Linked DNA regions of Astyanax mexicanus. The protein of the gene in region 1 purifies or fractionates together with the protein of each later gene. This does not show direct contact. Links are inferred from orthologs where the notes say so. Each region holds a gene or a part of one and is shown in the gene's direction. Other genes may lie near its edges.

Region 1 (7,017 bases):
TTGAGGTAGGGGTAACGTCACATTAGAGTCTCCTGGTAGAACTTTCACTGGAACTTTTATTTCTATAGAATGGAAGGGAGCAAATATACATTGTTCACGACACTCAAGGTCGCCGGTGCTGCAGGTCGCTGAGGCCAGCCGGAGGCTCGTCCAGGTCGACTGGGTGTGTTGCTGTGCTTCGGTGGGAGTTGGCTCAGTGCCAGACTGGATGGGATGATCATTAGTAACAGCTGTTGGCTCCGTCTGGGCTGAACACTAGAATCGTAAGTTTTGGGACTGCAGTGTTCAGGGGCGAGAGAATGTTAATGTCGGTAAATAACGCCGTCCTGCCGTAAACAAGCCTCCACTCAGGGGTCTGGAGATGAAGAGCGTCCACACTGCCAAAGGCCTCCTCAGATGGGACATACTGTGATGAGAGACTGGAAGACTCTGAGGCAGAGTTACTGGGTTCATCTGGCCCAGCAGATATCTTCACACACATTAGGAGTTTAAGGACACTCTGTCTCCTTTTTCTCATTATTTACACCATTAACACTTAAAAATAAAGGCAATTTTCTTGTAGAGGGGATGTCAGAAAACTAAATGATTTCAATAAACATTTAAGTACTTTTTTAACATTTCCTTATGTAACAGTGTAGAAAATGCATGTTATCACAAGACTCCAAAACTTTCCGCGCCCCAACGTTCACCCATGTCACATCAAATCATGTCATGAAGCTCATTGCTGTTTTACACCACGTCTTCTGTCGCATCGTTTAAATAGAAACAGTGCTTCTGAATATATCTACACTGATGGGCGTGGTGGTCTGGAAGTTGAGTGTCTTCAGGTACGTTTGTGGTATCTTGGCAGTGGAAAACACAGGTGCACCACTGACTGAATACAACCTAGACAGATCAGACAGTCAACAGTCAGATGTTCATTGCTATGTGCTGCAGTGCGCCACGCATACACCCACATTATTACACACATGAACACCCAGAAGCACAAATGCAACTTTTACATCAACAATAAACAGAATACTAAATAAAATACAATTGCTTTTAACATTAATTAACTGCTGGAGCTCCTTTACAGTGTGAACGAGCAAGTCAGTTTCCTCTGCTGAGAAGCGTCGGACATGTCCAAGTACCTGCGCCGTTAAAATAGCAATCTGCCAAAGTCAGAGCACACCTGGCTCTTAAAAGGAATGAAAAGTGACACACTGATTGGTTTATTTTCGCTTCGAACCACACAAAGTGTACTTTTCTCGTTGTTGTGATAGCGAAGACTGACACTGACACACCCTAAATCAAGCTGCATGGTGCTCAGTTGATGGCTCACCTATAGATCCCTAAAATAGGGCCCTCAGTCTTTAAAGGTCAGAGTAAATGGCTGAATGCAGCTTGCTGTACTCTGTGGAGCACTCACACAGCTTGAGTTCTGAGTGGGAGGCAGATCAGGAATGTTGCATGACAAACGTCTCAGTTCCTCGAAGCCAGAGCTCAAAAGTGGAAAACAAGACGGCTTCTCTCCACAGGGCCACAGACTCCACACAGTGACCCGGTTCTGATCCAGACCCCCCTCAGCTGCTCCAACTGTTCCCTAATAGTTTTGATTTCTTCAGTATGAATCTACAGTGTAAAAAAGAAAACAAATAAAGAACAAAAAACACTAAGTGAGAAGATGGGTCAAAACATTATACTGGTATTGTATATGTATGTATGTAAGTATTTGTATGTAAGAATATGATTAAAAAAAGTATCCAGTATTTTATTATATCTTTTCATAGAACAACACTAAAAAAAAAGAAACTTGGAACTGGATATAGTCAGTGTACGGCTTGTATAGCAATATAGATTTACTGTCCTCTGAAAATAACTTAACACACAGAAATGTATGTCTAAATATCTGCAACACAAGAGAGTACACCTCACAGTGAACATTTTCCAAATTGTGCCCAGTTCTGTGAGTGGAGTTCACTTGAGCGCATGGATGTCAGACACCTTGCGCTCCTTTACCTTCTGCCTGAGGATGCCACACAGGTGCTCAATTAGGTTTGGCTCTGGAGACATACTTGGCCAATACATCAACTTTATCCTCGGCTTCCTCAGCAAGGCAATTATTATTTTGGAGGTGTGTTTATGTTTGGGGTCAAGTCAAGCCACGTCAATACAATACAACAAGGTCACAGATATAGAGGTACATGAGACAAGAGACACAAAGACAATATAGTGCAATAGTGATGGGGGGAGGGGATTAAGAAGGAATGACAGTACCATTGTAAACAGAACAGAACAGAACAGAATCGTGTTGGAAAACTGCCATGCAGACCAGTTCCTGGAGGAATTGAAAAGGTACTCTCGTAGCCCTGGACCATGATGCTGATCCCACCACCATGCTTGACTAAGTATTATGAGTATTAAGAAAAAAAGTATTTAGTCCATCAGTGTGAAGTCATGGCATAGAGAAAACACTGTTTATTTGTTGTATATGTGGATTGGGCAGCTGTGTGTTAATTTTGGACAATATTAGATATAGTTCCAGAAACTGGGCCTTAGCGACTTCAAAAACACGTAACAAAATAATTTACATCAGCGCTTGAATGGGAAACAATTTGTGCTGGTTCCAGTTCTGACCACTGGGTAGCACTATGTCTTCATAGATTTACAGAAGGCACACACACAGACACACACACACACACACACACACACACACACAGTTCGCAGGAACATCTGCTACTCTGCTGGGAGACTTTACACTGGTTGTTAATACATTAAAGGGGGGGGGGGGATTTGATTGCATTCAGCTCTTCACAGAAGCATCAGCGAAAAGCATATAAAATATGGTACTTCTGTTGTTAACCACTGGGTGGCACTACACACTCAGACTTACAGGCCAAAACGCACACACACACACACACACACACAGAACACACAAGTGAAGGGATAATTCTGTGTTTTGTGTTTGGCTTAAATGTTGCTGATCGAATCATAAATGGCCACAGCAAAGAAACCATACGTAATAACGACTTCAATCCAGCCAATATATTGTGATATCAATTTTGGTCATATCTTCCAGCACTAGACGAAATTAACTGCCAAATTAAGGAACTGTAAGTCCCTATATGTGCCTTCTTATCCATCTGTGAATAGGGCTCTTTGGCTATGTTTACATAGCAGGCAAAATGTCCCAAATCTGATTTTCTGACTAAATCTGATATGAAGTTTAGTCTGTTTACACAATCTTTTTTATCACTTTCATCACTAAAAATCTAAATCATAATCGAGAATCGCTCCTATATTTAAAAACATCTAGAATTTATATTGGTATAAATATATATGTGTATATATATATATATATATATATATATATATATATATATATATATACACTATATATATATATATATATATATATATATATATATATATATATATATATATATATATATATATATAGTATATATATACACCAACAAAAAACTTACAAATTACCTTAAAGAAACTATTTTTACATTGACTTCCATTTAATGCTTAAAAGGTTTTTTTCTCCCTCCTGTAAAGTTGCTGTTTTGGAAACAGCGATGATATACACTAGTGCATCTCAGAAAATTAGAATACCATTGAACAGTTACTTTATTTTCAGTTTCAGTTCAAAATGTAAAACTTGTAAATTGTGTAGATTTTTTTTTGTTGATTGTGTAGATGTATTGCGCGAAAAAACACTGCACTGACTTTAGACTTGTCATAACACAGAGGACCAATAGCAGCAGATGACATGACTCTTCAAACCATCACTGATCATCAGTAAATTGTGCATTTCATTTGGAAATCAAAGGACCAGAGTCTACTGTGAAGTTTCCACAATATGTATAAAAGAAGCACCTAGTGTAGCACCTTGGTGTGCTTCACGTAGCACGTTTAAAAAACACTAAGCTACATGTATCTGTGTATATATGTTTATCTGTGCACTCTGCGCACTACATCCCCCACAATGCCCGCGGCCCTCCCTCCTCGCCATGTTGTAGGAAATGCTGGTGCTGTGGATTAGAGTTTAATCCGAGCGCAGCGGCGGAGAGAGACGGAGAGAAAACCCGCAGCGGCTCTGACTGAGACTCACCGAGACTCTCCGAGACTCCCACCTGCGCCCAAACCCCGCGGACCCCCGGACACTCTGGCCCGCAGCGGTACTAGGGGTGGCGGTTGTGCAGTAGCTCCGGCTGGGTCGTTGTTCGGCGCGTTTCCTGCTCCGTGTGCTTCATCCTCCCTCCGCGGAGAGCGCAGCTGCAGCCCGGGGGTCTCTCCGACACAGCGCACTCACACACCGGCCACAGCACACCTCTACACCCCGCGGCCGGCCTCCCCTCTCCCCCTTACCCCTCACCCCTCCGCCCCACGGCGCTGCGATCACCACCGGCCCGGGGTTCAGCCCGCAGCCGCTCTGCTGCTCCCGGAGCCCGGCCGAGCCGGGGCTAGCTAACCCACAGCTACCCGAGCTAGCTAACTGACTGACAGCATTAGCTGGGCGGTTTAGAGCCGCACGGAGGAATTCTCTGCTTTACCCCGCAGAGAGAAGATTAATTAAAGACGGTGAATTATCCACGATGTCGGCGAAGGACCAGAACAAACAGTCCACCATCGAAAGGCCGGTGAAAGGTAACGGGAACGGCGCGAAAAAAAATCCTCCCAGTTTGTGGCGTTAGCATCATGCTAACTGTTTCAATTTCACTGACTGGAGTTAACATTAGCCTGCAGCTAACGTTAGCTAGGTTAGCTTACCCAGCTAACCTAACTAGCTTAACTCAATAACCAACGCTCACCTGATTAGCATTTCCTAACTAAATATAGCTAACGCTATTTTTACGAGTACACTCTGTTATAAAATAGATATTCATCGTATCTACCTAATTAACAATAATAACGACTGTTAAATATATGGGGTTTCTTATTTACCTCAGCTTGTCGTTGAGTTTCCTCATTTCTTAACGCTTTTCGTTAGCAAGACTTCAAGGTTAGCTATCTTAACTAGCTTAGCGTTAGTTTTTTTTCCTGTCAAGTTGTGCTAACTAAACTAGCTAATTTTACCTGTAAATAGGTCTGGAGTGAGGTTTGGAAATAAACTGGACATTTTACTAACTTAATAATATTGAATGTTATGTGTGTGGGATTTCCTATTTACCTCAGTTTGTCATTAACTTTCCTCATTTTTAACGTTCCAGGTTTATTTTTTCTGTCAGACTGTGGGAACTGACTGGTCAGTCTTAGTTATTTTAACTTAACGTTTTTAAACAACGTTTTTATCCAGTTAAACGCTTATTTAACTTGCCTCAGTTTGTCGTTGGGTTTACTTTTTTTTTGTACAAATCCCTGTCAGATTGTGACTAGTCTGTTTTAGCTAACCTGGCTAGCTGACTAAGTCACGGTCACTTGATTAACTACTTTTAGTGAATTAAGCTTTCTTATAGGGTAGATATTATCTGAACCATATTATTAACAGTGATATCGACTGTTAAATGTGTGAAGTTTCTAATTTACCTCTGTTTATCGTTGAATTTCCCCATCTTTATCGTTTTTGTTCATTTACCTCAGTTGGTCATTGAATTTAATCATAGTTTTTCCTGTCAAATTGTTTGAACTGACTGGTCAGTCTTAGCTAACTCAACTTGGTTTACTTTGTTGTAATTAAATTGCAAAAAAGGCTGAATGCTTTAATTTCTTTAATATAAAAAAACACATTGTGATTTTGAGGCACAATATCTATCACTGATATTTTCCAGGTGTATAAACATGAATTAGTATTTTTCAATTTCATAGAGCTATTCATTAATTATTAGTTAATTTTACTGTTTACTAATGTAGCCTTTCACTAAATACTTTTTACCTGTTCTCTAGCTAATTTTACCTGTAGAACGGGTTTGGAAATAAACTAGATATCTTACTAACAAAAATACAGATGAATAAATGTGTGGATTTTCTTATTTACCTCAGTTTGACCTTAACTTTCCTAATTTGTTTTTACATTTTTGCTTTAGATGTTCCTGTCAGATTGTGGTTACTGACTGGTCAGTCTTAGCCAACCTAACATACCTTACATTTTCTGCAGTTAAGCACGTTTAAATACTGGTTAAATACTGACTACCCTTTACAGGCTGTATTAACACGAATTGGTGTTTTTCACTTTAATAGAGCTATTCATTAATCAATAATTTAACTTTTCACTGATATTGCCTGACAGCTTATGGACAAAACAAATTTTCTTATAGATTAGATATTCATTAGTTCAGCTCTAGCTAACGTATTAACAATAATAAAGATTGTTAAATGTGTGAGGTCTTATTTACTACACTTTGTAATTTAGGATTCTCATTTTTAACGTTTTTGGTTACCAAGACAGCTAGCTAACAAGCGTAACTCTTTTGCTTTAGTTTTGTTTCTGTGTTTTTGTGGCTAACTGCCAGCCTTAATTAACTAGTTGGCTAACTAGCTGCTTTTTGCCTGTTAGCTAGCCAAATAAATCTACCTTTCTCTTTCACAAGTGTTTAGGGATGCTAGTGATCACATTACACTAATGTTGGGTAATAGAGACCTTGATATCTGTAGACGGTTTGCCAGATGATGATAGATTAGTGTTTAATTTTTCTGAAGTTTGACTAGTCAGAGCGTGTTTGGAAATCAGCAAAACAAGATAAGCACCACATTTAAGAGAGCTATCATAAATGATGACTGCACTGATTTGCGTAATTCATTGTTTCTCATGCAGGTCTGCTGTCGAGCACAAAGGACCCACAGTGTGCTGTGTTAAGTCACGGTGGCTGATTCACTAAATGGTAACACAAAATCCAGCCAAGGCTAGATTTGCTGGATCTCCATTGGCTGAAAAGATTGCTCAGTGCATTTCAACAAAAGGGAAATACATATTTAGTTTGATAAAATGCAGTGGCTTAAAATATTACGTCTATTATATTTTATGTGGCATTTCATGTGACTCTTTCCAAGGGCTCAGACCCTTGCTCTTTGAGCCTTGGTTTAAGATGGAGA
Region 2 (7,561 bases), on another chromosome or scaffold:
TCAAGATCTTTTAATTAAGAGCGATAATTGAACTGTTATAATCGCAATAATACACTCAAGGTTTGTGCTATAACATGTAATATTGGCACTGCTGTGATGCGGTCGTAGCCACAAGGCTGTAGGCTGCAGACTGCAGGGAGTGCTATTACACGTTATAGCACTCCATCTCATGTATTATTGCTTGATCATACTATATGACATCTTGTACCTGTTCTCCAGTTGCACCAGTACCCTCTTTAATGGATGTTTCTTGGCTCAGGCTGGACTCTCAGCTCAGTCGGTCTATTCCAAACTGAACACTGTAAGCAGAACACTGTCATCTGCTCCATTTCTGCCTTTAAAACAAAACTACTGTTCTATTCCTGATCCCAGACTGTACTGTATGTATGTTCATGTGACTTGTACATTTCTACCACTGACTTAAACATTTACATCTGTATGTTATATATGTGTGTATACTGCTGGGTTTATGTGCTGAGAATGAGAGACTGAAGCTGTGAAACAGCGCAGGAGTGTGGACGGGTCGGGTGCAGCCAAATATGTTCTTTCTTGGGCATTTCTTTCTTTTCTTTAGGGGCCTTATAATATTTTTAAGATTGTATTTGATGTATTTTTTCCCTGTGCCTTTAGTGGGAGCTTGTGTAGTATAATTATTTAATGAATTCAAAATGTATGCAACTATTTATGGAATGTATTATACTGTAAATGCACGCAGCTTGAGGCAGAAGGTTGTAAAGAGAAAATCTAATCTTCTCAAACATCTGATTGACGATGTCCTTGCGATACACCGCGTTTGTAATAGTTCTTAAGTCTGTGTAACATTTAAAGGTGTATTTACTCAGATCTCAGATTAATAAAATGTGCTCACCTGTGCGTGCAATTGTTTTGAGTTGGTTAAGATTTTGCAGAGAAGAGGTAGTATTACTTAATGCAGACATCTGACCCTGGCGTTTCATAAATTACACATTGCAAAGCTACTGTGATTAATTAAGATGCATTTATAATAATCGGTCTGTATGTAGCATATGCCCCACATAGACCAAAACCAAAATATGAAAGAGAAGAGAACGATACAGTGGCATTAAAAAGTTTGGGCACCCCTGTCGTTTTATTGATTTGAATACCTTAAGCACTAATTATTATAATTTAGTTTGATAAGCGTATTGACCTACATACACTCTGACTGAGTCTTGGTTCCTTTCAAGGTTTCTTCCTCTTAATGTAAGGGAGTTTTTCCTTGCCACTGTTGTCACCACAATAATTGCCATTTCTGTGGTGCTGCTCATAAGAGGCGTGGACCTGTTTTTCTCTGTAAAGCTGCTTTGTGACATTTACAACTTCTGTTGTAAAAAGCGCAACATAAATAAAATTGAATTGAGTTTAATACACAGGTGAATCCAATTATGAGAAAAGGTTAAGGAGCCAACTGCAAGTCTTTCTCCTCTTTGCATCTTCTCTGAAGAGTACCAACATGAAAGCCTCAAAACACAACTCTCAAATGACCTGAAAACAAAGATTGTTTAACAATATGATTTAGGAGAAGAAAACAGCTGTCAGTTTCCACTGTGAGGAACATAGTGAGGAAATGGAAGATCACAGGCACAGTTCAATTTAAGGCCTGAAGTGGCCGAACAAGAAAAATCTCAGATAATCAGAGGAGAAGGATGGTGAGAACAGTTATAGTCAACCCACAGATCAGCTCCAAACACCTACAACATCATCCTGCTGCAGATGGAGTCCCTTCAACAAGATAACGACCCTAAACACAGCTCAAAATCTGCTAAAACATTCATGAAGAGGAACAAGTACAAAGTTCTGGAATGATCATCTCAGTCCCCAGACCTGAATATTATTAAAAATCTGTGGTGGGATTTAAAACAGGCTGTTGATGCTCAGAAACCATCAAACCTGACTGAACTAGAGGTGTTTTATAAAGAAGAATGATCCAAAATACATTCAAGCAGAAGACAGATTCTGATGTAATTTTTTTCTGTTGGGGTGCCTAAATTTATACATTATTGCACATTTCCTATAAACATAATATCATTTCTCAAATATCAGTGTGTTCATCTGCCACATGATATATACCCCACCAACAGGGAACTGGCCTTGCACAACATCACTACTATATCTACAATATATCTGCCCAATTAACACACCCAGGCACAACCCAAGGCCTGGCTCACTGAGTAGAATCTACCATTATCTTTGTGGGGTAACATTTGAAAGCAATTTACAGCATATCATATACAACACATTTACACAGAATTAGGCAGAGAATTCTTTTAAACAATTGTGTAATTTTAATTTAAATAAAATGCTTGTTCTGATTTGTTTTCAATTATTTTAATGTGGGGCTACAGAATGTAGGTTCTTCTGCTGTTCAATAATTGGTTGTGTGTGTGTGTGTGTGTTTCGATAGATGGCATGGCAGCAGCAGGTATTTTCCTGGGTAGAGATCAGAGCACTGATTAAAGTCTGGGCCCTCAGCTACTAGCATTAGTTAAATGAGAACGCCTGTGAGCTCTGACCTCTGACAGTACCCTGGGCTGGCCCACAGAAAGAGCCTGAAAAGGACATTAACGCATGCACACAATGCTGTCACATGCCTGCTGATGAGCTAACAGTCATGTTATAATGTCATAATATACCAATATTATTGCATGTTGGTAATGTTATGCAGAAATGTCAAGAATTTTGGAGGTCAGGTTGAAGGCAGTGTTAGTGACAGTGGTATATTTCAGTAAAATCGATTCAGTTATAAACACTACTTGAAATCTTAGAACCAACCATCACACATTGCACCTTCTCTAAAAAAAGCTGCAGGTTTAGCCATGTCCGTCATTGATGTTTAAGATGATATTTTGATCCAGTAACCTAGAACAGCATTTCTTCAAACTTCTTTTTTACATGGAGGTCACCTTTGTAGGTGATAAGTGCCACCAGGGCCGTTTAAGGCATTTTGGGGGCCACAGGGAAGATGGGCTCTGTTAGGCTACTGCTATGTCATGTCATTAAAAGTGATAAACAGTGAATCTGGAGTGATCTGGAGCAGATCTGCGTTTTCCTTTTTGTTAATGTAACATAGCTCAGTGTATATCAGCCCCTTCATTGCATTTGTTACTAGCATTGATTGCCAGGCAGTTAGGTAACATACAAATGATCCATATATATAACCTAACAGCTGGTAAAATACACTATGTGTACATAAGCACACAGGCCTAATTTATCCAGTGTAAATTATCAATTACTGCTTTAATGTTTTTCCTTTTCTTTCTCTTCCTTTTTATTCTTTCATTTTTAGATTCCTGATGGAGAACTCTAATTCACGATTGTTGAAGTTTCATATTTTGCCGGCTGCAGGAAACACAAACCTGGCTGGTTGGTTACTGTCAGCAACTAGTGGGAGGGGCCTCCTTGAGGAGATTTCGATAACTGTGTCATTGTACTTTCCTGCATTGATTATCACAGAATGTATTGGGCACTCACACAGTTTGTCACTGCATTCAGTTTGTAATTAGTCGTTGTCTGGGGGTCCCAGGCCAGCTTGTGGCCCCAGGGAATTTTTTTTTCTTTGCTGTTTTCCTTTGTTGCAACAGGTCTGAGTGCCACTGCAGCCCCCAACTCCCCATTCTACATGAAAAAAGACCAATGTATAAGTATTGGACATAACTGAAAGTATATATAATTTTGTTAATATTAAAATATGTATTCTAGTATCATTATTAGATTCATTATTTTTATTCGGAGTCCAGTAAAAAGTAAGTATCCCCAGTTTTGTTGATTTTTAGTTTACTGCATAATTTGAACACACAAACTGTGCCAAAATTTCTTGATGGACAAATCAAAAGAAATACTTTGAAATTACCTTAAATAAACTATTTTTACATTGACTTCAATTGAAAGTTTAGAAGGTTTGTTCTCTCTCCTGTAAAGTTGCTGTTCTGAAGATTTTCATTGGACAGCGACCATATATAAATCAAGCATAATTATTATGTTAAAAAGGCATACAGTTTTTTTTTATTTAGTTATTTATAGGTATATGTTTGAGTAAAATATTCTATAAAAATATTCTATAAACTACATTTCTCCCAAATTCGCAATAAAATAATTGTCATTTAGAGCATTTATTTGCAGAAATTTATAAATGGCTGAAATAACAAAAAAGATGCAGAGCTTTCAGACCTCAAATAATGCAAAGGAAACAAGTTTATATTAATAAAGTTTTAGGGGTTTAAAATGCTTTTGGATAACTTTATTCCACTCCTGCAAAAAGTCAAGCATTTCAGCTTGGTTTGATGGATCATCCATCTTCCTTTTGATTATATTCTAGAGGTTTTCAACTAGGTAAAATCAAAGAAACTCGATTTTTAATGGTCTCTTTTTTTTTTTTTTTTTTACAAAGCTATAGTTAGGACTAAGACTCTGATGCTATTGGCTGGTGAGATGATAGCCTCGAATTGGATTGGTCGAATGAGAGAGAGAGAGAGAGAAGAGAGAGAGAGAGAGAGAGAGAGAGAGAGAGAGAGAGAGAGAGAGAGAGAGAGAGTCTCAGCCTCTGGGAGGTGAAAGATGGACACCCAGGTTGTGGTTCTGGTTCGCTGGTACCGGCAGCAGCGGGGCTGAGGGCGAGCTGACCCGGAGCTGAGCAGTCGGAAGGCGGCGAGGGACTGCTCTGACCCCGCGGAGGTAGGTTAAGAACCAGGGACGCGCTGAAACTACAGGGTTATGTTATTCTGTTATCTGGTTATCCGAGTACATACAGCCCAACTTTATGAATCAGTGTGTTAAAAAAGCCTTCTGTATTCCTTCTGACATAAAATTAAACACTTTTATAATTTAAAATAAATCCGCTGGATAATAATAATAACAATAATGTAATCACGTGTTCGCCACTAGACAGCGACGCTGTTTATCAATAAAACCACCCAAAACCTGCGCTGAATAAAAACACAGATTTTACCATCTAAAACATACAGAACACAGCTGTATGACTGTGCTGTCGTTTATTTGTGTTTGTAACGAGACTGAATGAGCGTTTACACTCACTTGCAGTGTTTTGGTGACTGGCCAAAGGGGTTTAACTCGCATGGCTTATCCAAGAGGCTCATGGGAAATGGAGTTTAACTGTAGAAACTTTATCGGTGTAAAGCTTTGTAGTGATTCCAAACGAGCTGTTCTGAGTTCAATTATGGCATATCAAACTGTTTTGATATGTTTGTATGTAGTGCTGGGCGATATGGCCAAAATTTATATCACAATATATTCCTTAATTTCAATCGATACGATATAATTTCAATATCTATATAAATACTTTGAAGGCCTCAGAAAAACTGCTAAGAATCCCTGCAATGGAAATCTGTACACTACTGTCTGAAATTTTAATTTAAGTCTTTAAAGCCTCCTCTCACAAAAACTGTATAATACTTTAGAAATAAAAAATGGTCAGAATAAATCAATGCACACTTTTATTTGCATGTAGCAAAATAAAAACATGACATTTCTGTCAAACACAAACCTATAACCTATAAACATATTACCAATATAAATAACTTTACAACATTACAACAGAGGCAGAGCTTCTTATTCTTTTGTAAACATATTTAACAGATCAAAACAATATATACACTGCTCAAAAAAATAAAGGGAACACTCAAATAACACAATATAACTCCAAGTAAATCAAACTTCTGTGAAATTAAACTGTCCACTTAGGAAGCAACACTGATTGACAATCAATTTCACCTGCTGTTGTGCAAATGGAATAGACAACAGGTGGAAATTATTGGCAATTAGCAAGACACACTCAATAAAGGAGTGGTTCTGCAGGTGGGGACCACAGACCACTTCTCAGAACCTATGCTGTCTGGCTGATGTTTTGGTCAGTTTTGAATGTTGGTGGTGCTTTCACACTCGTGGTAGCATGAGACGGACTCTACAACCCACACAAGTGGCTCAGGTAGTGCAGCTCATCCAGGGTGGCACATCAATGCGAGCTGTGGCAAGAAGGTTTGCTGTGTCTGTCAGCGTAGTGTCCAGAGGCTGGAGGCGCTACCAGGGGACAGGCCAGTACACCAGGAGACGTGGAGGAGGCCGTAGGAGGGCAACAACCCAGCAGCAGGACCGCTACCTCCGCCTTTGTGCAAGAAGGAACAGGAGGAGCACTGCCAGAGCCCTGCAAAATGACCTCCAGCAGGCCACAAATGTGCATGTGTCTGCACAAACGGTTAGAAACCGACTCCATGAGGATGGTATGAGGGCCCGACATCCACAGATGGGGGTTGTGCTCACAGCCCAACACCGTGCAGGACGCTTGGCATTTGCCAGAGAACACCAGGATTGGCAAATTCGCCACTGGCGCCTTGTGCTCTTCACAGATGAAAGCAGGTTCACACTGAGCACATGACAGACGTGACAGAGTCTGGAGACGCCGTGGAGAGCGGTCTGCTGCCTGCAACATCCTTCAGCATGACCGGTTTGGCAGTGGGTCAGTAATGGTGTGGGGTGGCATTTCTTTGGAGGGCCGCACAGCCCTCCATGTGCTCACCAGAGGTAGCCTGACTGCCATTAGGTACCGAGATGAGATCCTCAGACCCCTTGTGAGACCATATGCTGGTGCGGTTGGCCCTGGGTTCCTCCTAATGCAGGACAATGCTAGACCTCATGTGGCTGGAGTGTGTCAGCAGTTCCTGCAAGATGAAGGCATTGAAGCTATGGACTGGCCCGCCCGTTCCCCAGACCTGAATCCGATTGAGCACATCTGGGACATCATGTCTCGCTCCATCCACCAACATCACGTTGCACCACAGACTGTCCAGGAGTTGGCGGATGCTTTAGTCCAGGTCTGGGAGGAGATCCCTCAGGAGACCATCCGCCACCTCATCAGGAGCATGCCCAGGCGTTGTAGGGAGGTCATACAGGCACGTGTAGGCCACATACAATACTGAGCCTCATTTTGACTTGTGTTTTGTTTTAAGGACATTACATTAAAGTTGGATCAGCCTGTAGTGTGTGTTTTTTTTTTCACTTTAATTTTGTGTGTGGCTCCAAATCCAGGCCTCCATTGGTTAATAAATTTGATTTCCATTGATGATTTTTGTGTGATTTTGTTGTCAGCACATTCAACTTTGTACAGAACAAAGTATTCAATGAGAATATTTCATTCATTCAGATCTAGGATGTGTTATTTGAGTGTTCCCTTTATTTTTTTGAGCAGTGTATATATATATATATATATATATATATATATATATATATATATATATATATATATATATATATATATATATATATATATAGGGAACATGATATCCCCGTCATATAAACAAACCTATATCAACTATAAATAACTTAGATACAACATAATCTACAAAAGTGCTTCAGATATTGTGTGTAGTCAAACTGCTTAAAGTGACAGTAACAGTAACAGACCGGACCGGAGCGCAGCGGAGCTTCATTGCGGGACATTCTAGGTGGGAAGCGGAGCGCAGCCGAGATCCGCTTGGTTAAGGTCGGTTTCGCTTCATCGCGGGAGGTTTTAGACGCGAACCGGAGCACAGCC

What was found. The genes of interacting proteins can lie anywhere in the genome.
Region 2: the proteins of ppp3ccb (region 1) and rcan3 purify together in Homo sapiens (affinity purification with mass spectrometry; 3 studies listed by BioGRID and IntAct, counting the BioPlex papers as one, with this or other methods). This does not show direct contact. The link is inferred for Astyanax mexicanus from reciprocal best matches to the Homo sapiens genes PPP3CC and RCAN3.

Annotation. Positions count from the first base shown.
Region 1 is NC_064427.1:21,725,009-21,732,025, reverse strand, and holds the start of ppp3ccb (protein phosphatase 3, catalytic subunit, gamma isozyme, b), read left to right. Parts: upstream 1-4,012; 5' UTR 4,013-4,583; coding exon 4,584-4,635; intron 4,636-7,017. UniProt on the Homo sapiens protein: Calcium-dependent, calmodulin-stimulated protein phosphatase which plays an essential role in the transduction of intracellular Ca(2+)-mediated signals. Dephosphorylates and activates transcription factor NFATC1.
Region 2 is NC_064421.1:35,120,392-35,127,952, forward strand, and holds the start of rcan3 (calcipressin-3), read left to right. Parts: upstream 1-4,549; 5' UTR 4,550-4,689; intron 4,690-7,561.